4 linked regions of the Saccharomyces cerevisiae S288C genome follow. The protein of the gene in region 4 interacts with the protein of the main gene of each other region in a biochemical or structural test. Each region holds a gene or a part of one and is shown on either strand. Other genes may lie near its edges.

The links.
Region 1: the proteins of HSP82 (region 4) and AHA1 form a complex in vitro, tested with the Saccharomyces cerevisiae proteins (7 studies listed by BioGRID).
Region 2: the proteins of HSP82 (region 4) and SBA1 form a complex in vitro, tested with the Saccharomyces cerevisiae proteins (10 studies listed by BioGRID, with this or other methods).
Region 3: the proteins of HSP82 (region 4) and STI1 form a complex in vitro, tested with the Saccharomyces cerevisiae proteins (13 studies listed by BioGRID, with this or other methods).

What each region holds. Positions count from the first base shown.
Region 1 is NC_001136.10:891,186-898,125, reverse strand, and holds AHA1 (Aha1p), read right to left. Parts: upstream 5,252-6,940; coding exon 4,199-5,251; downstream 1-4,198. Other genes in the region: DNA-binding transcription factor ADR1, read right to left, coding at 1-3,091; YDR215C (uncharacterized protein), read left to right, coding at 3,624-4,037; UPC2 (Upc2p), read right to left, coding at 5,634-6,940. UniProt on the Saccharomyces cerevisiae protein: Co-chaperone that binds to the molecular chaperone HSP82 and stimulates its ATPase activity.
Region 2 is NC_001143.9:216,485-223,852, forward strand, and holds SBA1 (Hsp90 cochaperone SBA1), read left to right. Parts: upstream 1-3,839; coding exon 3,840-4,490; downstream 4,491-7,368. Other genes in the region: DGR2 (Dgr2p), read left to right, coding at 1-216; OAC1 (Oac1p), read left to right, coding at 860-1,834; VPH2 (Vph2p), read right to left, coding at 2,086-2,733; serine/threonine protein kinase PRR1, read right to left, coding at 4,860-6,416; DNA-(apurinic or apyrimidinic site) lyase APN1, read right to left, coding at 6,868-7,368. UniProt on the Saccharomyces cerevisiae protein: Acts as a co-chaperone.
Region 3 is NC_001147.6:376,862-385,293, reverse strand, and holds STI1 (Hsp90 cochaperone STI1), read right to left. Parts: upstream 4,242-8,432; coding exon 2,472-4,241; downstream 1-2,471. Other genes in the region: YOR029W (uncharacterized protein), read right to left, coding at 359-694; CIN5 (Cin5p), read left to right, coding at 874-1,761; BUB3 (Bub3p), read right to left, coding at 4,488-5,513; NAD-dependent histone deacetylase HST3, read right to left, coding at 5,732-7,075; AHC1 (Ahc1p), read left to right, coding at 7,582-8,432. UniProt on the Saccharomyces cerevisiae protein: May play a role in mediating the heat shock response of some HSP70 genes. It is required for optimal growth of yeast cells at both low and high temperature.
Region 4 is NC_001148.4:95,996-100,377, reverse strand, and holds HSP82 (Hsp90 family chaperone HSP82), read left to right. Parts: upstream 1-1,752; coding exon 1,753-3,882; downstream 3,883-4,382. Other genes in the region: YAR1 (Yar1p), read right to left, coding at 292-894; GTPase-activating protein CIN2, read left to right, coding at 4,120-4,144, 4,225-4,382. UniProt on the Saccharomyces cerevisiae protein: Molecular chaperone that promotes the maturation, structural maintenance and proper regulation of specific target proteins involved in cell cycle control and signal transduction. Undergoes a functional cycle that is linked to its ATPase activity.

The sequences.
Region 1 (6,940 bases), on a different chromosome or scaffold from region 4:
ATACTTCAACTGAATAATTCTTCAAAAAATTCAACCTCACAGAGTTCAAAAAGGAATCATATATCTTTGCTATTTGTCCTTTTCTAACCTTCTCAGTAAACGAGCGATCAATCTGTTTGATGAATCTCATTGACATTAAATTATTTTTCAAAATTATGGTGTCATCAATTAAGATCGCAATATTTTTATTGGTTGCTGCCATATTATCATTGCCATAGGAAGAAGTGTCAAGACTCCTCTCTAGCCTTTTCGTATCGATTCGATCCAAAAACACATGTGATTTGGTTCCTTTTCTTAAATCGTATTCATAATAAATCATAGATGACCCTAAAAATTCTGGTATTGAGTGTAAGTGTCCATACGTGAAACTGTAATAAAAGTTTCTAAAATCATAAAAATTTTGCTTTTGCACAACATGCCCATTACATATTATCGATTCACTGGCCCATTTTGACTCATTGTCGGGAATATAAATGGTTTCAACATCTTTTTCCTTTATAGACAAATCGAATTTAATATGGAAGAAACATTTCAAGAACTGACAAAAATCATAAGCCATTAAGGTGCATCTAATTTTTGACTCAAAAATGATGTATTGAAGAGGAGAACCAAATGTTAAAGGTTCATTGTTATTATTGATACTCTTCTCAGAATTTGCAGAAATTGTCGGTAAACAGTTTGATCTGATCGTTGAACATAATGCGGACAATTGCCTTTTCATCAAAGAGGAGTCAATTTTCTCCAAATAATCAGCAACTAGAGCGAACATGAAGCTCAATATTAGGGATTGCATCAACCAAATGTTCTGATAACTGTCATTTACTGTTGTACTGCGACACCTTCTTTTAGTCTCCAAAAAAGAATGTAGAATTCTTCTACTCATCTCATACAATTCTATTGTTTGAGATTTGTAACCGAACTTATGCAAAGAACCAAATGTGGCCATAAATAAGGGTAAACAAACGATTTTCGAAATGGACAAGATTTGATAGTGCTCGTAATCATATTCTTTATCTGTCCCTTGACTTAATCGATCAAACAACTGCGCGTTTTCAGCGTCATCATACCCATCCTCATTAGTATATCGTTGCAAGCTATCCAAATCCAAATCAAGCAAGCTTGGGTGAATAATAGGGAAATGGGGAAGGAAATTATTCTTGAAAAGATCTAAATATTCGTTCAATTCACTCACAGCTGGCATTAACAATTCTTTGGACAGCAAGTTTGGATTAGAGTCCATGACACTCTCACTACTATCATGACTGAACTTTTCATAGTATCTAAGCACTTTAATGCACATATTTCTCATTGGTTCATTAAATAGCTTTGATTCTATGGAATGCGATGGCTGATTGTTGTTCACAGTGGAGGCCGGCAGAGCTCTTGATATTTTCGATAACGTTAAACAATCTAACCCATAAAAAGTATAGTTGCCGCTATCTGGCTTTTCTTTCCTGTTTGACGTTGATAAAAAGTCTTCCAGGGATCGTTTAGACTCTTCTCCTTTCAAATATTGACTGAATATGGCTTGAACATCTCTGGTCATATTACATAGCTTATCCAGATCATCTTCGCGATTGGAAGGATGATCGAGTCCGAAAGAAATCAACATATCGTCATTGGTCCCCTCTTTATTCTTATAAATTAACTTATGAGGAGAAATTGGAGAGTTTGATAGGTTCAAATGGGAAAGGTCAATCTCATTTGACGTGGCGGTAGCACTTACGCTATCATCATGTAAAAGTTCAAATTCTTTTAAAACGGCAGTGGTCTCTAACAAATCATTACCTAAAGTATCATTATCCAGCAGTTCTTGAAAATCGACGAAATCAGGTTGGTTGTCTGATACCTTATTGTTATTGCTATTATTATCTATAGCAACAGTCCAAGAGGAGGACCTTGAATCCTTCAAATGATGTATAGTCGATTTAAAATCTGGGACGATTAATTTAGTGTCGTTTAATTCAGAGTTCATTGGAGAAGTTTCATCACTTTCAGATACTGAAAACAAATGATCATTATAGGCTTTTATCCAGTACGACGACGACAATAAGTCTGCGTCATTAAATGAAGCGTTCTTAGAATTCGTGTTAGCGCCGACATATGCGCGGGTTGGTGAGCCGGAAGAATATGTGTAGTTATTTGCTGATTCGGGCAATTTATAATCCAAATTCATTGTTGATCCAGAAGAATCAGAACGGTTTAATGCTATATTGAAATTGGAATCTAGATTTAGGTTTAAATCTAGATTCATATTCAGGTCAAACGAAGAGTCAAGTTCAGGATTCTTCAAGTCAAGTGGAACTAATTCAGGCGTAGAAAATTTAACACGATCCTTTGGATGTTGTTCTAGCGAAGATTGGTCGGGCAAAGCATAGCTGGATGCTGATTGTGCGCTAAATGAAGCCCTGCGCGTCAGTTTTTTCAAGTACTTACGTTTAACATTAGCTTCAGGGCTTGCTTTTCTTCTTGTATTGGCAGTAGTGCGATTCAAAAAATTACCATTATCTGGAGTACCATAGGTTGGAGTTTGAAACTTGACTGAGGATGCAGAATTTTTCCGAGCTTTAGTTATAGTTCTCGACACTTTCTTGGTATGGGAAATCGTTTCCCCTAAATTACCACTATGGATTTTTTGAGCATGCCTGATCAGTAAGTCCCTCCTAGTAAAGCATCTGTTGCAGAGGCCACAGGGATAAGGTTTTTCATTTGTATGCGATCTGTAATGTCTTTTCAAGTGCTCTTGTCTTGCGAACGCTCTCGTACAAACCTCGCAAACAAATGACCTTAGTTTCCCACTGGGGGTTCTACCATTAAGCCTTAAATTTTCGGGCAACTTGTCCAGTTGCTTGTTAATCTTGGAGTTCATATTATTATTTGTGGTAATGATCTTTCCATCTGGCGTCCTCTGTATCACAGAGAAAGTGTTTGAGTTTTCTCTGGAAGCTGATGATGACATTAATAAAATCGGTGAATCATCCGTTTCCATTTCTATTTCTTGTTTCTCATTATTGAAGCCGTTAGAAAAGCACGAATTCAAGTCAACAACGGGAAAGCCTGAACAATCGTTTGGTTTTTCTACGTTAGCCATAGTAATAGAGTATGATTATTTTTTTTATATTTTTTTTTTTTGGAAAACAAAATTCTTATAGTAAAGTAAGGAATAGTAGCAGAATATTTTTCTGAAGTGTTTATAATAAAGGGAGAACCGGGAAAGTAGCAAAATGATTGGTTAATTTATGCAAATCAATCTTATACTTCCAACGAATAAGAGGGAGTATATCAAAACAGAGTAACAATAAACTTTTGCTATGACACCTTTTCTTTCTTTCAAAGATAAAAGAATAAGGCTTTTCTATAGTAGTCGAGCAAATGTTGGAATAAGGAGGTATGGAATTTTGAAAATAGCCTGAGAAATTCAGATCAATGATATATAACTGTTGTCTTCAAAAGGTCTTCAAGGGAAGAAAATTTCCGATCGGAAGTCCAGAATAAATACCACAAGTATAGCACAATAAACAACAGCACAACAACAATAATAACAACACCTGTAGCGAAAACGTTTTCCTATTTTTAAGGCGTTGTTCTTTGAAAACCTGTGGCGAAGTAAAACATGAAAACAAATGAAAACACCGCCAAACCAAGAAAAGAACAACGAAAAAATATCACTTTTATTTAGTTCACAACGGCTAACTATCGACGTTCACCCTTCCTCAGTCTATCACATCGTCCTTAGCTCGAACAACGCCGATAGGCATCAAGTTACATTGAGCTTTACTGCACGTTCCCGCATGATGCCATTGACTAGGGCCCGCCCTTTCGGCAATCATTCTAGCATGTTCCGCATGTTCCTTGACGCCATGGTCATCCTTGCCGTCGCCTCCGGCGTTTCCCTTCCCCCTCAGCTGCCAGGGCGCCGTTCACACAACGCAAGCACACCCGGCGCCAAAAAACCGGGGAAAGACCACGGCGCTATGGTTTCGGAGTTTCCCGCCAATGGCGTTATAACTCCAGTTTATTTTCCTCTTCGTTGGTAAATTCCGGGGAGGCCGTCGGCGCCGGGCCGCAAAAGTAGGACGGGCGATCGGAGCCGCGCGGATGCCGTACAGAACTACATGATGTATTGCATTCTATCTATGCCAATAGTGGTATGTAAATATTTACGCATACTTTTATTGAAACATGAGAACAATATATCTTATAATACGGCACCAAAGCCGAATGTCAATTTAATAGAACGCACGTAGTATTCTTCAAAATTAGCGCGCACGCGATCTTCCTCGCCAACGGGTATGCCAGTCCACTTCACCTGTAATTTGGTTTCATGGAATTCTTGCGACTCATGGAAAGTCATTTCGATAGTAGAGTTGAAAGGGGCAGACCAATCCTTGAGTTTCCAGTGGAAAACAAGTTTCTTGTCCTTTTCGCATGAAACCAACTCGCTGATCACGTTGCCGCCAAAGAGCTCGAATTTTTCTTTGGTCTCCAGCTTCGGTCCGCTGTTGAAAAATTGTGCTGATCTGGTCCAGGCCAATATGCGTTGCTTATCAAGGAACGTTTCGTAGAGCTCGGAGGAAGGCACATTAAAAGTTGGTTCTAAATAAATAGATGTACTATTGCCGCTTCCGTTTTGGGGGACTTTGTTGGTGCTGGAGACTGGTGCTGAAGTTGAAGTAGAAGAGGGAAGTGCATTCTTTTTTGGCTTTGAAGCGGAGTCCTTGATTTCGGTAAAGCTACTTTTTTGGTTACCTCTTGTGTAGTTAGATTTCACCTGAGATTCGGGCACCTGAATGTCATTACCATGGGTGGCCAGCAAATCCTTGCCAAATTGTTGGAAAATTTGTCTCAACTTGGGCAATAACTCGGATCTAATTAGTGGCTTGGCTTCACTCAATTCGCTAGTCTCCTTAAATATAGATATGTCAAATTGATAGCTTGAGGCCTCGCTATCGAAGGCAACTTCAGGAACGTTAATGCTACCCTCGAATGGCAATGCCGATCCGTCCTTAGAGTCCACGTGTCCCTCTATTAACACCGTGATTTTCAAATCAAACAAAGATATAACCTTCCCCTTACGCTGATTAACTTCACAATCACCTTCAATGGACGAAACAGACTTGATTTTGGCATACTTTTTATCCTTCACCGAACCGGCCTCCACTCCAACCAGTTTCTGTTTGAAATACTCCTTGGCCCATCCGATGCAGTTCTTATCGACCCAGTGCCAGTTATTTGGGTTATTCACGACCATATTGATATATTGTTGCTACTATAAACGATTAAGAATAAGACTGAAAGGAATAACGAAAGTAAGGAATTGCCTCTCTATCAAAGTTTCCTATACGAGTGAACTTTCAAAATGCCTGCAGTTCTTTTTGTATTTGCATTACACATAAAAAAAAAAAAAAAAAAAAAAAAAAAAAAAAACTAACTACTTTTATATAATACAATTACAGATATGTTCATTCTCCCACATACAATGCGGTAAGTAGGCATTTTGAATCCATCTTGGTTTGTTGCGAGGCTTCTTTGTTTTTTCTTCTAGAAAATTCCATTGTGAACTGGGTAACACAATATCCCTTTTTTTTTTTTTGGGAATCTATTTCGAATATTCTGCACTTTTAAATTTTCTATCATAACGAAAAATCAGAGAAATTTGTTGTTGTCATCGATGGTAATCCGCCACCGAGGAAATCTAGCATCATATGCATACCACCACCTCCACTGTATTCGTCAACATCTTGAGGCAGCACCTGCGTGACTCCTTCGAGAAACCAGACTTTATCCTTGACCTCTGTGGCAAATCCTCGAAGTAGTTTATAATATGATCTCATAATTCTCATTGCACCTAAATCACCTGTCATCAGTAATGCCAGGAATGTCTTGTCTAGCAATGCTGGAAATGTAAATACCCGCAGAATAAAATCACCCTGGTTTTTTTCACGGTGCAATTTATCTAAATAAGCTAGTGTTATCAAATATGGCGAATCTAAGCCGACAGGATACAAATCGGCAATACTTTCATCAAAACATACCAATTCAGTAATTGTTCCAACATCAGGGTTAATGACATCGCCTAAATCGCTAAGATCAACAGATATAATGTTATGAAATTTAGATCTTTCACTCAAAGGCCACACAGCGGTTAAAATTGTTGCAGCACCTTTGACATGAAAGATCCAAGCGCTTGGTGACATGCTATTCAAACTTTGGTTTCCTACAGTGCCGTTACCACTAGCATTTGCTAACGAGTCCATGATTAGTATCAGGGCGCTGGCAACTAGCGCATCGGTGTTATTCTCAGATATTTCTAAAACAGCTTCTCTTAATAATCTCAGAGCGTCTAGGCGGTGAGATGAAACGTATTGCTCCAGTCCAGTTTCAGTCCTCGAAAGATGGGTGGCACTGAATGCCAACAAAGCGTGCATTAAAAATGGATAGTCAAATGCTAACTCCGGTATGTAGTCCCTCCATATTTCAGGCCCAGAAACTTTGGCCGCTGTAATCGTAGGCCAGACCTTTGTGCAATAATGATGAAACAGTTTCATGTCTATCAGGTTCAGATTGCCTTTGGTAGAAAGATCTAAAAGCTTAGCGATGTTACTGGTACCAGCAGAAACAGAACTTCGGTCAGCTTCGTTATTAATTTTTGAGGTCATGTCTTGCCGCGATGCATCGTCTTCATTCTCTGTCTGTGATGTTTGTAAACTTATCGTTGGTTCGTTGTTCTCCAAGGCTGCTTTTGTCAGATTTCCTAGAGAACTTATAGAATCTTGCATCTCTTGCCTATCATTCAACACTGCAGAGGGCGTTGATGGAGAAATGTTGCTGTTTCTGTTCATGTTTCTTTCAATCATTGATATAGGCGCCATTGTCGAAACCGCATCAGCCGCCTGAGGTTCCATAATACTAGCACTTCCCCCTTGGGCGTTATTCGATG
Region 2 (7,368 bases), on a different chromosome or scaffold from region 4:
GGAAGTTTTATATCCCTAAAGTCAAGAAGTGAAAGTACGAGCTCCACGGTGTTTGGACCGCATGATATTCCGAGAGTTTCTACCACTTATCCGAAGTTGAAATGTGACGTCTGCAATGGATCTAATTTTGAATGTGCTTCCAAAAACCCCATTGCTGGCGGTGATAGCGGTTTCACGTGTGCTGATTGTGGTACAATCCTCAATAATTTCAGATAGAGAATCAGAAAGTAAGAGGAAAAACTATCTGTTCCACCGTCTTTAGATCATAAGCATGTCTGCAAATAACATAGTATTATTATTTATATCTGTAGCGATCTTTATTATTTTTCATTACTGACACATTTTCTCACAGAACCATCTACAACCCGAAAGATGCCGGAAACGGTCTTAGGCCGATGGGGTCTATTAGGGCCTACAGAGACGTCAATTGGGCTATAAGAAAAATGAAATCGAGGAAAGATTTTCCACTCTCAAATTAAGTAGGGCAAAAATATGCTTTTGTTCGCATGTGGTGTTATTCCAGTTGCGAGTCAGGGTCTGCCGATATGCTAAAGGAGGTCACGAAAACGAATCTGGCATTTAATACCTCATTAAGTTACAGCGGAATCGGCCTTCTGTTGCGGAAAAAAAAAAAAAAAAGAAAACGAACATTAAGCACCGCTGAAATTTCAAGCTGTGACTAAGTCGTCAAATGATAAATACTGCATATATATAAACTATGTGATTATATGCAACATTAAGATATACTTTCTTCTTCCATAATGCCCCCACTCCAGAACTCCATCCGAAATAGTTTTCCTTAGATTGCTATAGCAAGTCAGACACAAGCACATCTCATCGAATTATATCGTAAGCAAATATGTCATCTGACAACTCTAAACAAGATAAACAAATTGAAAAAACAGCCGCCCAGAAGATATCGAAGTTTGGTTCGTTTGTGGCTGGTGGGCTAGCAGCATGTATAGCTGTTACAGTTACTAATCCGATCGAATTGATTAAAATCAGAATGCAGCTTCAAGGTGAAATGTCAGCATCAGCTGCAAAAGTTTATAAAAATCCAATCCAAGGTATGGCGGTAATTTTCAAAAACGAAGGTATAAAAGGTCTGCAAAAAGGGTTAAATGCTGCTTATATCTATCAAATTGGGCTAAATGGTTCCAGATTAGGGTTTTATGAGCCAATCAGATCATCATTAAATCAGCTTTTCTTCCCAGATCAAGAGCCACATAAGGTACAGAGCGTCGGAGTTAACGTCTTTTCTGGTGCCGCATCTGGTATAATTGGTGCAGTCATTGGCTCTCCATTATTCTTGGTGAAAACAAGACTTCAATCATATTCCGAGTTTATAAAAATTGGTGAACAAACGCACTACACCGGTGTTTGGAACGGGTTAGTAACCATTTTTAAAACCGAAGGTGTTAAGGGTCTATTCAGAGGTATTGATGCGGCAATTTTAAGGACAGGTGCTGGTTCCTCTGTTCAACTACCTATCTACAACACAGCAAAGAACATTTTGGTCAAAAATGATCTGATGAAAGATGGCCCAGCATTACATTTAACTGCTAGTACTATCTCTGGGTTAGGTGTTGCCGTCGTTATGAACCCATGGGATGTCATTTTGACAAGAATCTATAATCAAAAAGGTGACTTGTACAAGGGACCTATAGATTGTTTGGTCAAAACTGTTAGAATCGAAGGTGTAACCGCTTTGTATAAGGGTTTTGCAGCTCAAGTGTTCAGAATCGCACCTCATACAATCATGTGTTTGACCTTCATGGAACAGACAATGAAACTAGTTTATTCGATAGAGTCGAGAGTTTTAGGCCATAATTAATTCCCATAACAAACTCCGAGGTTTGAAGTTTCATTCATTGGCCAGGACAGTTCTACTTTACTAATGGTTTCATTACAACCTTTTTCTTCATATTATGTAGCATTAAGGATAATAGAGCATTTTTTATTTCACATTCATACACGATAGTTTTATAAACGTAATTATAAACATACAGAACATTATTCACAATTGTCCAGTTCCAAGAATTATATGCTCTCGGATCTCGGAGTTCTTATTTATAAAATGATCAGTTACAGTGTAATCTTGCTTAGAACTTTCTTTTTCTCAACCTTTGTTTTTTCTTTTACTTTTGCTTCTTCGAGTTTTTTCAGATAGCTGTTATACACAACCACATCTGCTACTAAGACCAATATTCCAAAGAACAAGCACAACAAAAGACGAACATGGACCGGAAAGTTTGTTGAAGATCCGGTCCAGTACCAAATGGCCACAACAACCGATATGACACTTACAAGAACGTTGAAAACAGTGGTAACTTGTTCCTTAATCTGTTTATTAATTTGTGAAGGCGTGAGTTCATCGTCTTCTTGAAGTGAAAAGACAGACTTGCTTCTCTTGACCATACTTTGATATTCAAGTTCTTGTTCCTGATATTTCAAAAACTCTAATTTTTTCTTGAAATCCTCTGAATAGTGTAAACCTCTGACGGCCTTGGGCTTGAATTCGAACTCCAAAGGTTTCAAAAGTTCTTTGATAGAGCATTGGAGATCACTGTCTTTTCTATACTCTTTCACATAAAAAAGAAGTGACTGCATAGGTATTGCGTGTCGCTTCAGGAACAAATCAATGTCCTCATCAATTCCTTCGTTTGATTTCGCGCTATTCTTGAACTTTCGCAGAAATTCAGTTATTCTATCATTCAGTTTAATTTCGAACATTAGAGTTCTTTTATGTGATGCCAATCGTCAATTATCCTATCTTACCTTTTCTTCATTTCTTTCAGCGTTTTCATGTGAGATTTGCTTTATTTTCGCTTCCTCGTTTCTCATTTTAAATATTCACACGTCCGTCATGTCTACTTTGAGTCAGTTAAATACACAAGATTTTTGTAAAACTGAGTATTTCGTGAACAATATAATTGTTCGGATTCAATCATAGTTAAAGACTATAGTATGAGATACACAGAATATCCTAAAAGTTCCCCTCGAGGGTATAGGAAACCTCAAAATGGAATCGGTCTTTCTACATGATAATATTACTCTAACTTCTTTTCTTCTATACTTTGCCATTCATTACCCTATCACGTTATCAATCCTTGCATTTCAGCTTCCATTAAGACCGATAACTGTTTCCCAATCTCTATGTCATCATCTTACACCGCTGTGATAATATTCTAGGAAGACGAATACTAGCCAATAGATGATACAAGGATTTCATTTCGACAGAAACAAAAAAAGCATGGAAAAACGAATGGAGACAAAGAGGAAGTTAAAGAAAGTTCATTTGTGACCTCATTTACTCAGAAGAATTTCGTAAATCGGTTGTTATAGAACTGTTTTATTGTTTAAAAGAGCTTGTTATAGTAATCTAAGTGGAAATACACTAACAGTAAATAGGGCGTGTGGCGTAGTCGGTAGCGCGCTCCCTTAGCATGGGAGAGGTCTCCGGTTCGATTCCGGACTCGTCCAATCTTTTTATACTTATTAATAATTTTTTTCCTGCCGTTACTTGCTTTTAAAATAACTGCCTTTTATGAATACAGAGTATAATTTTTGATATACAAAGAGGTTGACTGTGATAATCAATACTTAATTTGTGGTTATTGGTACACATATACCTACAAAAGTTACCAACAAACTGTTCGACTTTTAATGCTACCCGCCTTCCGAGTGTTTTTGAAGGGGCGGAGAGGAGCGGCAAGAATTAGCATGGAAAAAAGCATAAAAAGACGAAATGGGTGGCAATGTATTAACTTGTTCGAGAAACCTAGTGGACTCAATTCATTACAACAACAAGTTCCCAAGATCATCGATTCATAATAGTCATGTCCGATAAAGTTATTAACCCTCAAGTTGCATGGGCTCAAAGGTCTAGTACTACTGATCCAGAAAGAAATTATGTCTTAATAACTGTGTCAATTGCAGACTGTGATGCCCCTGAGTTAACCATTAAGCCATCATACATCGAATTAAAGGCTCAATCAAAGCCTCATGTTGGCGATGAAAATGTCCATCATTATCAATTACACATTGATCTATACAAGGAAATTATACCTGAAAAAACAATGCATAAGGTTGCTAATGGCCAGCACTACTTTTTGAAATTGTATAAAAAGGATTTAGAATCTGAATACTGGCCACGTTTGACAAAGGAAAAGGTGAAGTACCCTTACATCAAAACTGATTTCGATAAATGGGTTGATGAAGATGAACAAGACGAAGTTGAAGCTGAAGGTAATGATGCCGCTCAAGGAATGGATTTCAGCCAAATGATGGGAGGTGCTGGAGGTGCTGGAGGTGCTGGAGGCATGGACTTCAGCCAAATGATGGGAGGTGCTGGTGGCGCTGGTTCTCCAGATATGGCTCAATTGCAGCAATTATTGGCTCAAAGCGGTGGTAATTTGGACATGGGAGATTTCAAAGAAAACGATGAAGAAGATGAAGAAGAGGAAATAGAGCCGGAAGTGAAAGCTTAAAAGGAGGAGCAAATCAACCTGGAGTGCTAGAATGAGTAACTTAGAATAAAAGACGAATATATGCACTTTACACAACTCTTTACCTGTTTGTTATTGGCTGCCTCTATGTAATTAAATATTATGGAATTAATAAAAATATTTTTATTCGTAACTATCTTAGATATATATTGTACATTGTCAAAAAGACAGTAGTAAGCAGATAGAAGCTATATTGGATGCAAAATAGAGAAAAAAGCAGAAATATTATGTTGCAAATGTCAAGTAATGGAACTGTATGTGATATTTAAAGAACAATTTCTATATGCTGGATGATTATCAGGTGTAAGCAATAAGAAAGAAAACGAAAGTAACTCCCATCCGTGGGAAATTTCAAGAAAAACTTAGAGTATCAGCGATCGTTTTAACGAAGGGGGATTCGTAAATTTCATTAATCGACCAACGTTGGTTCTTCCTCGTTAGCGTATTTTCCACAATCTGTTTTCCCACATTAGTTTTATAATCGCTTAACCGGTACCATCTCCAATCAAACCTGGCAATACGATGTGACGTAGCTCTGCTACGCTGTCTTGCTGAAGCGTTTGGAGGAGGGTCAAATGGTAATCTGTCCTCAAACAAGCTGTATAGTATGACACCTAAGGCCCACGTGTCGCTTAAATGGCCATCGTAGGGAACTCCCATCAGGATTTCTGGTGAGACATAATCCTCTGATCCACATCTTGCTGTACACATCTCATTGTTCTCAATTTTTTTGCAGAGACCAAAATCTGCTAGCTCAATGAAATTTTGCTTGCAGTAAATGGGTGAGTCCCTAAAACTGTTGATATCATCAAAACTATATTTCAGTAGTATATTCTCTAATTTTAGGTCCCGATGAATAATACTGTTTTCGTGCAAATATTTTACTGCCAGTACTACTTCCGTAAAAATCCTTTGAATCAGCCACGCTTCTAGTCTTCCGTTACGGGCCATGACGGCAGCTAATAAGTCTCCTGCAGGACAATAAGACATAATCATATCACAAGGCGGCAGAGCTCTTGGAGTTTTTATAATCAAATCGCATAAAGGTTTTTTGCTAGTAACAAAAATTGGATTGTTTATCCCAAGTAGTTTAACTATACATGGGTGATTTAGTGATTTTAGCACCTGCAATTCCCTAGTCAGAGAATTTTCCAAACGGGATAAAGTTTCCTTATATCGTAACGATGTATTGATTTGTTCAACATTTGATAATTCCTCGGGATATTTGAGTCGTTTAACGGCCACTTGTTTCAGTTTAGGATTGCTTTGGTCCATGAGTTCATATAAAAGTACGGTACTAAAATTTCCTGAACCAATGGGCCTGACCTTTTTCCATAATAACGGGCGATCCCAGTGATCTAAAAGAAATCCCTGAAATATATCATCGTCACACTTTTCGGTAGAACTACTACTTTCGGGAAAATAAGGTTCTTTCGTGTAGTTATCACTATCAACAGAATCATTTACTAAAGCCTCTTCAGTCACTGTTGGTAAGGAAACAACCCTTTGGGGGGATAAATTAGCTGGTGCAATAAGTTCAGAAACAACTCTTTGGTTTGGTTGTGTAACAGAAAGCATATCATCCAGTAATCGTGCATGACTTCGTCTTTTGGGTATATTCAACGAGGATTGATCTATAGGTGACATTGACAGATTGCCTGGGGATAACGGAGTGTAGGTCATCGGTGTAGGTAATGCTTGGACATTTTCAAACGTCGGAATAGATACAGTCAAAGGTGTACTGCGAGAATCACCAGTGGTCCCTTCAGTGGATGCCATTTTTTTATCTTCCTCACCATTTTCATCAATCAATGCCTTTTCGTGTTGATCGCCAATGGAGTCGGGAAATCCTTCTTGTTTCAACCGAGGAGTCTTTGGTTGTGAATATATACTACTATATTCATCCATTGTCGGTATAACCTAACAGCTGCTGTGGGTATGGATGAATTCGAAGCGTAGATGTGATTACTATCTCAAAATATACTTGTCTAATTGTGTAAAAAAGAAAAAAAAGATAAAGAACACACCCCGCGTTGAAGATTACAAGTAAAAAACTTTCTATGCTTAGGAATAACGTTCCATAAGAGGATGGTGTGCTCAGCCTTCTTAGTTCATTTACTGGAATGTATTTAACTTTACCCTTTTCGTCTGCTAATCCATCAGTATGTGAAAAATGAAAATCTAAAAAAAAAAAAGGCTGCCTTATTCTGTAACGCAACGCGAAACATCTATAAACCAAGTAAGTAGTTTCTATGAAATGGGCAACAGCATCTTGGATGACGAAGGGTAGCATTTAGTTACGTACGTTGAGATAATCTACAAAAATTGATTACGTATTTAAAATTCTTCTCGCTTCTCATTATTCTTTCTTAGTCTTCCTCTTCTTTGTCATTTGTGACAAGATATCATTATCGCTTGGCTCTGCAGTGGCTTTCTTCCTCTTGGTGCCCCCAGCTCGCTTCTTTTGTTTAACCTCAAACTTGTCTAACTGTTCCTTACGCGATTTAGCACCTAATTTCTGCAGCGTATCATTTTTTTCTTTATACTCCTTGTCTTCTAACAATTCGCTCTCACTCTTTGATTCCAACCACTCCATAAGTTTGATTTCATTACCATAGCCTTCATCATTTTCGTATGGAGTTTCCAAGACAATAGGGATACCCTGCAGGTATTCAGAGTGCGCGATCATTCTAAACACATCTATACCCAAATAACCTTGACCCAAGCGTTCATGCAAATCTCTATTTGCTCCTAAAGGAGCCTTGGAATCATTTAAGTGAACAGCACTTAGATATTTGAACCCTATTACATCATTGAACTCTTTCCAAAAATTGTTAAACGTTTCAGTGGTGCTGATATC
Region 3 (8,432 bases), on a different chromosome or scaffold from region 4:
GTTTTTCCGTTTTATCGTTTACATGATTATCCTGAAAAGTCCCCTGCAGCAGCAATCATAGGGCCCACTCACTGCCATGTCTTCCCACCTCCTAAGAAATGGCTGCCCCACGCCCCTTTGACGACTTACTCCTCAAGGTAAAACTTGGCGTACGGAGAGGGGTCGAGAAAAGGTTCCGAGTGGAAATGTACGCCAATGTTTAGGGCTACGTGGAATGTGATCTCATTCTTACAAAACACGTAGATGATGAAAAGGGCCGCAAAAGTTTCTGTTATTCTTTAAATTGTTCCCAGAAATCCTCGAAGGAATGACCTAAATCTTAAGGCACTTGCTTTTAAAACTATTGTTCGTTAATTTGTTAGTAATGCAACCAAGTGCTCCAGCCCAACCGAAAAAAAGGGAAATTAACTTTACATCGATAAGCTCTGACGCAATGCGGGAGGGGATTTCCCGAGCGGAAATACCACGGCGCTGAAAAAAAAAAAATCGGAACCGGAGTTGCCTCACCGATCCCAATGGTGACATGCAAAGAAAATTTTATTGGCATTAAATCTATGAGGAAGAGGGTAGGAAGGAGTACTAGGCAAAAATCGTAACTAGGAGCAGAAGGCGAGTAAAACCCTTTCAATACTAGGGAGAGAGTGATTTGATAAGGATACCTCCTCACTCGAGAACTAGTTGATGTCTGCATCATTACCAAAGTTCATGTATATAAAAAAGGAACTGGGTGATTTATTTTTTCTCACGCATTCTGCTTACAAATAATTCATTAGATAATTTTACTGATTAACTACGACTTTTTGCAGCCGTTAATCTCATCATAGATATAGAATAACAGCTTGGAACAAGAAGGAAAACCAAAAACCTACTCAAATGTTAATGCAAATAAAAATGGACAATCATCCTTTTAATTTTCAACCTATTTTAGCTTCCCATTCAATGACAAGAGACAGTACAAAGCCAAAAAAAATGACGGATACCGCTTTCGTGCCAAGCCCTCCTGTAGGGTTTATTAAAGAGGAGAACAAGGCTGATTTGCATACAATTTCGGTAGTTGCTTCGAATGTGACTCTACCGCAAATTCAGCTCCCAAAGATTGCAACACTTGAAGAGCCTGGTTATGAGAGCAGAACTGGCTCACTTACAGATCTTTCTGGAAGAAGAAATTCTGTTAATATAGGAGCATTGTGTGAGGATGTTCCAAATACTGCGGGCCCACATATTGCAAGGCCGGTGACAATAAACAATTTGATTCCTCCGTCTTTACCAAGACTGAACACATACCAGCTTAGACCGCAACTATCAGATACTCATTTAAACTGTCACTTCAATTCTAATCCATACACCACTGCATCACACGCACCATTTGAATCTTCCTACACTACTGCATCTACATTTACTAGCCAACCGGCAGCTTCATATTTTCCCTCAAATAGTACCCCAGCTACGAGAAAAAATAGTGCCACGACTAACCTTCCTTCAGAGGAAAGACGTCGAGTTTCCGTTTCTCTTTCAGAGCAGGTTTTTAACGAAGGCGAAAGATATAACAATGATGGCCAGTTGATCGGTAAAACAGGCAAACCTTTAAGAAATACTAAGAGAGCTGCCCAAAATCGAAGCGCACAAAAGGCGTTTAGGCAGCGTCGTGAGAAATACATCAAAAATCTCGAAGAAAAATCAAAACTATTCGATGGCTTGATGAAAGAAAACAGTGAATTGAAAAAAATGATTGAATCATTAAAGTCGAAATTAAAAGAATAAAATAATGAATAATTATTAGTACTAGTAACATCTTAAAAGTTTTCAAAGCACATGGCAAGCACTTCTTCAGGGGGATGCAACCCCCCTTCTCCAAAGAAAATTGATGCCTAAGGTGGCGAAAATATTACGAGATAGGAAACAATTTATGGTTTCTAGTTTCAGGCAGCTTGTATTAGGTAATCAACAAAGCTTAATTTTCACCATTTTTATTTTCTTTCCTTCATCTCCCTTTTTTTATGGCAGGCACATTACTAAAAAGGAAAGAGTCAAGAGTGTAAAAATATACGTAGAAAATACATAGTAAGAAACGAAATTATATCATAGCAATTTGAAAAGTTTATTTCCCTAATTTTTTCAGCTTAGCGAATGTTGTCATGGAGCTTAGATATTCTCGCTTTTTTTTTTTCGCATTCTGATGTAATGAATATTGTTGACGTAAAGTTGTGCCAATTACGTAATTTTTTTTGTTTCTAAGGAGAGTTCCGGCCAGAAATTTCCTAGGGCTGATCCGGAGAACGACAGGAAAGATGGTCCGATGTTTTTTTCCCTCGCCCAAGAAACTTATTATCTTCAAGTTCCGATTTCTCAAATATCAACCATAGCATGAAACAAATTTAGTATACTAAGTGAGAAGATCATTATATGTACGTATGTATGAAAAAGCAGTAAAAAAAGAATTCAAGATAATAAAGTTATATTTCGTATTATTTTTAGCGGCCAGTCCGGATGATACCAGCAGCGATCAACGTCTGAATCTTTTTGAATACTTCTGGATTTTTCATGTGTTCTTGTAAAGCAGCGGGATTCTGTTGGGCCTGCTGCAAAATACTTTGCATAACAGGATCTTGCATGATCGCAGCCACTTCAGGATCTTTCATGGCCCTTTGATAGGTTTCTTCTGGGGTTTCGTTACTGGTACCAGGTTGGAATCTTTGTTGGCTTGCCTTGTAGTACAGTTGATCAATTTCCCTTGCACTAGAACCATTATTCACTTCAGCATCTTTGGTTCTGGCCGCATCTAGTGTTTCCAAAGCGGAAGCATATTCTTTAACAGCAATTTGTGCGGTGGCCTTTCTGATATAAGCTCTCACGAAATTTGGATCTTTTTCAATGGCTTTGTTACAATCTGCGATAGCTTCAGGGAAAGACATTAACTTCGCTAGTGCAGCAGCTCTATTAGAATATCCTCTAGCATCTTCAGGTGCCCTTTTGATCATTTCAGTGTAAGCCTTAACAGCATTCGGCCAATCACTCTTGGTAAAATATTCCTTACCTTCAAGACGGGCTTCCTCCGCCTTTTCAGGGTTAACATACGCCTCCGCCTCAGCTTTCTTCAATTCTTTTTCAGCATTCCTTAACTTGGTCAAAATGTCAGCAGTACGATGTTCGGTCAATGATTTTTGGTAGTATTCTATAGTTTTCTTCAAGTCACCCAATTTGTGATAGGCATTACCAATACGCGCAAATGATTTGGAAATGACCTTGTAATCCGCTCTCATTTCTCTACCTTGCTCAACAGCATCATTCAAGGTAGAAATAGCTGTCTCGTATTCGCCTTTTTCGTATTCAGCAGCAGCACGGTTGTTTAAATAGGTAATATCTTTATGCAGTTCCCACGCCTTGTTGTAGTGCTCTATAGCTTCATCGAATTGACGTGCCTTGTAAAACTTGTTACCTTCGGCCTTTTCCTTGTCGGCCTCAATTTTAGAGTCATCTTCATCAACTTCCATTGGCTCGGATTCCTTACTTTCTTCTTTCTGTGGTGCTTTAGAGGAATTTTCCTTGCTCGTAGTGGAATCGCTTTGTGGTTCAGCATCTTTCTTTTGTTCAGTGCTTTTACTGGTTTCCGGTTCCTTTGGCATGGAGTTTGATTGGTTTATATCATCCATGTTTAAATCAACCCCCATCAATGTAGCCATGATGGTCATTAATCTTGGATCAGTAAACAGATCTTGGCCAATAGCTTGCGGATTTTGTTTGTACCCAATCAGTTTAGCCACTAATTGAGGGTCCTTCATCATTTCGCTAGTTTTTGGGTTCTTCTTTAAATTTTCAATTAAATTTGGGTCAGCAAACAACTGTGTCAACCCTAAATCAGGCTGTGCCTGTCTTGCCTGTTGGGTACGATGAACCTGATCCAATCCTTCTTTGGCGGCCTTGTTACTGGCATCCAACTCCAAGGCTTTTTTGTAGTTGCTTTCAGCTTCGTCGAGATCGCCAAGACCTAAGTGGGCGGCACCGAGTCTATTATAACCCTTAGACCAAGATGGATTGATTTTGACACATTCATTAGCATCATTCAATGCGTCACTAAATTTCTTTAAAGAAGTATAACAGGCGGACCTGTTAGAATATAAAACATGGTTTGGAGTTTCAGAAACTTCAATAGCTTTAGTGAAGAGCTCTATCGCTTTATCGTAATCCTTAGCGGTAAATGCAGCGTTACCTTGTTGTTTGTATTCATCGGCTGTCAATGACATCTTTCTTGCGTATAGGTTGTTTTAGTAGCTACAGTGAGGAATTTGGGAGCAGACTTTTGGGCTTAAACAAGATACCTTAATAAGATGATTGATCTATATATAATTTTTCTAGCAGATCCTATTTACTTAATCTATGTATGTGATTTTTTCTTTATTCCTTAAAGGAGGAGAAGCGAAGAGAGAGCGATGAATCTGAATTTTTTTTCTGGAATGTTCTATCATACTACACGAATCTTCACGAAGATATCAGTTCTCATAGTCAAATATTATGTATATTGAACTTGCGTTTAGTTCAATAGTTTGGTCAATTGCGGCGTTTGTCTTGAAAGTATCATCAGAAGTTGCCAGACATAGAATATTGTCCGAACAAGCAATTTTAACCACGCTGTCTTCGTTAAATTTGGCGAAATTTTTTATTTTCTTGCGGGTTTGTAGGTTCCAGCATGAAATTATGCCATCAGAGCCAGCCGTGTATAGGAACTTATGACGGGGGGAAAATTCAATAGAATTTACTGGATACGCTAAGTTTGTATCTTTTAAATTCAAACGGTGGCATCTAAATGCAAATCTTTTGCTTGAGTTGTAATCATCGCCCTGATCATCGAAAAACTCCACAGCAACTCGCCCGTCAATGCTGCTACATGCATAACCTTCTTGTTCTTTCGGTAAAAGAGCGACATCTCTTATTTGGTACTTCAGTCCTGATTCTTCAATTGTTCCGTTATCATCCTCACAGAGTGGCAGGCGAAACCATTGAACCTGACTATTGTTCATACCAACGATCAATCGAGAGGAGTTTGTATCCATAGTAAATATCTTATTCTTCACCTTTGTGTTATTAGAGTTCAAATTTTTAACAGCAATAACTCCATCACCATAATTGCGAGGGTCGATAACCTCTATCAGGCCATCCCATGACGCGGCAATGAGTTTATCGTCTCCATATTTGCATATTCGGCAAATACCCAAATTGGCTTCATTGTTCGTCAAAGCTTGGAAGCTGGGACTACCTATCAAATCAACTTTTAGAATTTCACCCTGTACAGTTCCCACGTATATTTGCAGATCGGTATTGTCGATGAAATTGCAGCACAATAACGGATGTTTATATCGTAGCGATTGTAAAAGGTCAACATTCTTTGCTTGAATGTCGAATTTGTAGACTGTTAAAGAGCCATCCCAAGACGTAATCAAAAGCAGTGACTTGGAAGGGATTATTTTGATGTCGCTTATGTAGTCTTTTGGGGCCTGCTCAATTTGTACTATCTGCATGCCGCGACTGTTGTGTTTTCGTGTTGCAGATATCAGATAGCTTTTCTTTCGCGATGTGATATTTTTTTCGTTCACTATTTTTTGTATTCTCGGACATGCAGATCTCCGTTGGTATATGTATGAGTATATAAATGGAAGATAAATTAAACGGATGATATATTATGCAAAGGGGTGTCTGCCTCGATTATTTATCGTTAACTCAATTTTAATAGTTAAGTTTATGAGGCTTGGTTGTCACCGAAAGTTGGTCGTATCTTAGCGCGTTTTCTTGTATCCAAGTTTTCCTCTTCGTCTTCCTCACTGGAGTTTTCTGGTGACAGTATTTTTCTCTTAACTGTGTTTAACGACTTTATTTTTGTATTCAATTCGTTGTTTCCTTGAATATCAATCCCCTGGGCAGTTCGTAGAGGGGTTGTTGGGGGGGTTCCGATTGAGTCTTTTTGGGCCTTCATTTGCTTTCTCAAGTCGCTCGCCTCCCTTTTTAACTGTCTTAACTTCTTAATTTGATCTTGCGTCTTGAAGAAATCTGGTATTTGGGATTCAAGAAATGTGACCCAATTATCACAATCTGAGTGGATTTGGTAGTCTATAATGCCGTGCCAAGAGGATTCGCCAATGGGTGTCTTGTTTACGAGAATGATCAGGCCGCCACGATCGTGAATTTTCTTACTTAATTTTTTTACCAGTTGTTTCACACCATCAACTTTCAAACTTGTACCCATGATGATCAAAAAATCAGGATTGCCTTTAATTATGTCAAGATTTAGGCCTTGCGTAATAATTTCACAGGATGGATGGTTTTCACCATACAGGACGATATTAGGTCTTAGAATACCCACATTAGAACCAAGAGTTCGCTTTCCTTCATTCAATCTCTTGTTGATAAGTGCTTCGCAATCCGGACACAATGGTAACTCACCTCTTCTTAGACAACGAGACCAGTACCTGCTCCAGGGAAAAGTCTGGAAGCACTTTGTACACGAAAGAGTTTTCAGGTCGCCGTGCAACTGAACGACATCCAGATTTTTCCAATGTGAACTAAATGAGGTAAGCGGTAATTTCCTATTTGATAAAGTAAGTCCTATGCTTTCTTCGAGCCCATCGATGTTTTGCGTGTAACAGCGCAGCAGTTTGTTCCTATCTTTTAGATGCGCAATGAACTTGTGCGTCTTAGTCGGCTTTGCCAATTGAACATTTGAATAGAGCCTCTCCATAAATTTAGCAAAAATGGATATTTTGAAGTCATCTCTAAATAGCGAAATATCAAACATTTCCCTGCCGGACTTGATAGACCAATACTGTGAACAATCCTTTTTCACTAGGTCGTAGAGCCCATCAGAAGAGCGAAAGTCAGGAATGCCCGCGTTGCACGAAATGCCTGCCCCAGTCAGACAAGCAATTCTCCTAGATCTGCTCAACTGCTTGGTTACGCGCCGGAGAACTTCATCGTCGGCATCAAGACCTATAATATGTGCCAGTTTCTCAGTCTGCAAAGAGGACGGTAAGTCGGAGCACATTGAGCCCGATCGACTGGCAGGTGGCGAGGGCGATACTGAAGTCATTTTTGAGAAAGATGGATCTAGTTGTATGTAAATTAATCCCTTCAGTTTTTACACCACTAACCACGTATTTGCCCTTGCTTGTGTTATATATAAGACGTACGCCAGATATAGTTCTCTGGCACGAATAACATTGCTTGCTTTTATTGACGTTTTACCCTTTGTGGTAACAGCAAACATAAACGTCGTTCGTGATGTTGAGTTACTTATTGTTACCCGCAATTGAGGGATACCCGCCACAGAAACACATGCAGTGCATTTGCCACTGTGCATAGCCGTAGGAAGAGGGAAAAACGAACAGGGAAGAAGCAGGAAGAGCAGACAGCAAGAACCCGTGCTAAGGAAGGTGATGAACTTTGGCCACTGAAGGCGCATTTTACCTCTGAAGGATCCCGTTTCCACATTTGTAAGCTAGTGTTCGTTCATATAAACACCCTGATCTTCGGCATTTCACTACTCTTCGGGCTCACGCTTCTCATCCAACACTTTGTGTATATGTCCATCTCCTCATGATGAGTCCCGCCCAAGATAAACTGCAGCACCAGCATCATAATCCTAATTCTTCCTCATCGTCATCCTCTAAGATGACGAACGTTTATCAGGTTACCACGCCAAAGTCTCCTCAGGATTTGGAAAACAACATGGATGAGCCCTTCAAAATGGACACCGCCACCAGTAATCCGGACAAGGATAGCGAAAATACCCAGCGGTTGAAGTACGAATGTGCCAAAGGGGAAATACAGAATGTTTTGAACCTACATATAATGCTAAACCACAAGCATGTTAGGCACTTACGAAGAAATGTTCAAAAGGTTAACGCAAAACTAGCTCTCTTGGAAACCCTGCATAAGGATACTGGTCTATTGAACAAAATCGAACGGACGTATCAACTCAAAATAAAACAACATCAGCAGCATAGCGTGCTCGGCGGCCACTTTCACGACAGTACGGCTACGGAAAATACGAACGCATCAAATTATAACCTGTCATACCCGGTTCTATCGGATTATAACATCAACTGTCAGCCTTTGTCTTCGAGCAGCAACAGAAATCTGTCAACAACACGCATACCACACCACCATTATCATACTAGAAGCAAGAGTAACGGGCTTTTGCTAGAACCTTCTGCCCTCCGTCCGGCAAATTCGAATATAATTGATTACAGGCTAACAGGTTCTAAATCTCTATCAGAAGCCATAACCAAGCCCACTCCCGTCTCGCTTCCTCACTCTAATTCGGATGGCATTTCTTCACCTCGTTCCTCCTCAATCTCCCCCTTAGACGAGCAGCCGGGGTTCCAGATACTCCCTTTTAAACCAAGTCAGATGCATCTTAACCACAGACGTAATTACAGTAGCAC
Region 4 (4,382 bases):
TTCACTTTTTCTCGCAATTACAAAATTTTTCACTCCGTCGTTGATGAGGACTCCGGCTCTGCGGGTAATGAAATGGAAAGTTCAATGCATTCAAAATATACGCTTTTGAAGCGGTTACTTAGTTTGTGAGAGAAATATACATTATTACTGTAACTCTTTTCTAAATTTTTTGTATTTATTAATGCATTTCTGCTGGTTCCATCCTTTTATCTTCTCCGGTACCAAGAAATAAAATATCATGCTCAATGGATATTACGGCTTTTATTCCACGAAGAAAACAAGCTCTTTACTTTAGTCTTTATTTATATTCAGTTTCTCGGTTTCTTCTCTTAAAGCCTCGGTGGCTTCCTTGGTGACTTGTTCAATTTCTGTACCCTTTGTGATTTGGACCGAATTCTTGCCCTCAGTTTGTGTGTCTTCTTCATCATCTTCAGGTTCGACATCATACTTCTTCAAAAAGTATGTTTCCACTTCTTCCTTCCCGCTGTTCTCGGCCTCAAAGATAGCATCGTGGCCGAATTTGTTTCTAATAAAGGGGTCTGCCTCATATTCATCACACAGTAGCTTGACCACGTCTAATTTGCCATTCAACGACGCCCAATGTAAAGCCGTGTTGCCTGTTTTGTTCACCTCATTAACAAAAGCTTTCAAGTCTTCGGCACTATTTGCGCGAGAAACCGTCTCCAGTATATACCGAACGGTCTCTATATGACCGTTGGCAGCAGCCATATGTAAAGCCGTAGAATCAGATTCACTTTCCTTACAAGTCGAAAGTAACTCGGGACTGACTAAAGTTGTAAATATATCTTTCAGAGAATCCAAATCGCCAGCTCTTGCATCGAGTATTATGGTGTCTTGGTCCTCTTGATCTAACGGTTCACTGTGTAGGCCCATATCTGCGTATATGTAGATTTTTTTTTTCTATTTGGAAATAATTACTTTCTTTGAGATAGAGCGCGAACAATTTTGCCTATCGTATTACAATTCGTTTTTGTTTTACACAAATGATAATTAACTCATCGATTTTTTCTCAGATTCTCTTTTTCTTTTATTACTTTTCCTTCTTATTCTATGAAAATTTCATATCATCGTTCATGGTGATATTACCACGGTGACATCAAATGGAATTGTCCTATTTTTCTTTTCCTGTAATTAGTGGCGCGGGACTTTTTATTCCTCGTGGCAAAGAATGGCTACTAAGAGGAGAATAAGAGATGGTTAGAAGTATTTGGAAGCTTGATGACAGAATATTTTAAAATATAACTTAGCTTGCGTGTGCGTATTTGTATTCTTCGTGGTTACGATATGAACCAACGTGCAAGCGTGTGATATATCACATTCCGGAGGGTGTCACCCCCCCTCTCTCAACACAGTAATCCATAAACCAGTTTTACATACACGTAAAAAAGAACAGGAATAAAGCTTAATCGGATTATTAACTCATACGCTTGTCACATATTGTTCGAACAATTCTGGTTCTTTCGAGTTTCGCAGAACTTTTTGAATTTTTCTTTTTTTTCTAGAACGCCGTGGAAGAAAAACACGCGCATGGTTTTATGAGCGGTTAATTCTCATCTTAATACCAACCAGGTCCTTCCGCCACCCCCTAAAACATATAAATATGCAGCTTATCCCTTCAATTCTTAACATCTGTGACCTCCTCATTTCTTCCCGCTGTATTAGAGTTCAAGAAATCATACCTGATAGAAAATAGAGTCCTATAAACAAAAGCACAAACAAACACGCAAAGATATGGCTAGTGAAACTTTTGAATTTCAAGCTGAAATTACTCAGTTGATGAGTTTGATCATCAACACCGTCTATTCTAACAAGGAAATTTTCTTGAGAGAACTGATATCTAATGCCTCGGATGCGTTGGATAAAATTAGATACAAATCTTTGTCTGATCCAAAGCAATTGGAAACAGAACCAGATCTCTTTATTAGAATCACTCCAAAGCCAGAGCAAAAAGTTTTGGAAATCAGAGATTCTGGTATTGGTATGACCAAGGCTGAATTGATTAATAACTTGGGTACCATTGCCAAGTCTGGTACCAAAGCCTTCATGGAAGCTCTATCTGCTGGTGCCGATGTATCCATGATTGGTCAATTCGGTGTTGGTTTTTACTCTTTATTCTTAGTTGCCGACAGAGTTCAGGTTATTTCAAAGAGCAACGACGACGAACAATACATCTGGGAATCCAACGCTGGTGGTTCTTTCACTGTTACTCTAGACGAAGTTAATGAAAGAATTGGTAGGGGTACCATCTTGAGGTTATTCTTGAAAGATGACCAATTGGAGTACTTGGAAGAAAAGAGAATAAAGGAAGTTATCAAGAGACATTCTGAGTTCGTGGCCTACCCAATCCAATTAGTCGTCACCAAGGAAGTTGAAAAGGAAGTTCCAATTCCAGAAGAAGAAAAGAAAGACGAGGAAAAGAAGGATGAGGAAAAGAAGGATGAAGACGACAAGAAACCAAAATTGGAAGAAGTCGATGAAGAAGAGGAAAAGAAGCCAAAGACGAAAAAAGTTAAAGAAGAAGTTCAAGAGATAGAAGAACTAAACAAGACTAAGCCTTTGTGGACTAGAAACCCATCTGATATCACTCAAGAAGAATACAATGCTTTCTATAAGTCTATTTCAAACGACTGGGAAGACCCATTGTACGTTAAGCATTTCTCCGTTGAAGGTCAATTGGAATTTAGAGCTATCTTATTCATTCCAAAGAGAGCACCATTCGACTTGTTTGAGAGTAAAAAGAAGAAGAATAATATCAAGTTGTACGTTCGTCGTGTTTTCATCACTGATGAAGCTGAAGACTTGATTCCAGAGTGGTTATCTTTCGTCAAGGGTGTTGTTGACTCTGAGGATTTACCATTGAATTTGTCCAGAGAAATGTTACAACAAAATAAGATCATGAAGGTTATTAGAAAGAACATTGTCAAAAAGTTGATTGAAGCCTTCAACGAAATTGCTGAAGACTCTGAACAATTTGAAAAGTTCTACTCGGCTTTCTCCAAAAATATCAAGTTGGGTGTACATGAAGATACCCAAAACAGGGCTGCTTTGGCTAAGTTGTTACGTTACAACTCTACCAAGTCCGTAGATGAGTTGACTTCCTTAACTGATTACGTTACCAGAATGCCAGAACACCAAAAGAACATCTACTACATCACTGGTGAATCTCTAAAGGCTGTCGAAAAGTCTCCATTTTTGGATGCCTTGAAGGCTAAAAACTTCGAGGTTTTGTTCTTGACCGACCCAATTGATGAATACGCCTTCACTCAATTGAAGGAATTCGAAGGTAAAACTTTGGTTGACATTACTAAAGATTTCGAATTGGAAGAAACTGACGAAGAAAAAGCTGAAAGAGAGAAGGAGATCAAAGAATATGAACCATTGACCAAGGCCTTGAAAGAAATTTTGGGTGACCAAGTGGAGAAAGTTGTTGTTTCTTACAAATTGTTGGATGCCCCAGCTGCTATCAGAACTGGTCAATTTGGTTGGTCTGCTAACATGGAAAGAATCATGAAGGCTCAAGCCTTGAGAGACTCTTCCATGTCCTCCTACATGTCTTCCAAGAAGACTTTCGAAATTTCTCCAAAATCTCCAATTATCAAGGAATTGAAAAAGAGAGTTGACGAAGGTGGTGCTCAAGACAAGACTGTCAAGGACTTGACTAAGTTATTATATGAAACTGCTTTGTTGACTTCCGGCTTCAGTTTGGACGAACCAACTTCCTTTGCATCAAGAATTAACAGATTGATCTCTTTGGGTTTGAACATTGATGAGGATGAAGAAACAGAGACTGCTCCAGAAGCATCCACCGCAGCTCCGGTTGAAGAGGTTCCAGCTGACACCGAAATGGAAGAGGTAGATTAGGTAGAACATCATGGCCTTGAATAGGTTATAAACAAAACATAATATAACGTATAGGTATTCGAATGAATAAATAAGTATGTAAATAGGGCATCTGCATGGAAATAACTGGGTAAAACATTACAATGTATTTTTTTAGAGTTTTCACTATTCCGACGCGTCTAGTGTGTCATACAAAACGCGAAGAATCTGAAATCGTGAAATATACTTAAGAATATAACTGAAATAGCTTAAGCATAAATGGACTTTACTGCGAAGATAAAGGGTATGTTGAAACTCATCTGCTTTCATTATGCGTCCAACTAATTAACATTGCATATTTTCGTATACTATTTTTTTGTGTAGAGCTCGAACGAGAACTCTCAGAGACGAGTGACTATAAGACCTTGCAGAAGAAGACCATAAGTCTTCGAAGTGAGCTGAATACTCTGTCACATTCTTTGACATCTTATGAAAAAGAACACTTCTCCAATGATATAGAAAATGTATTAAAATCTATTAAT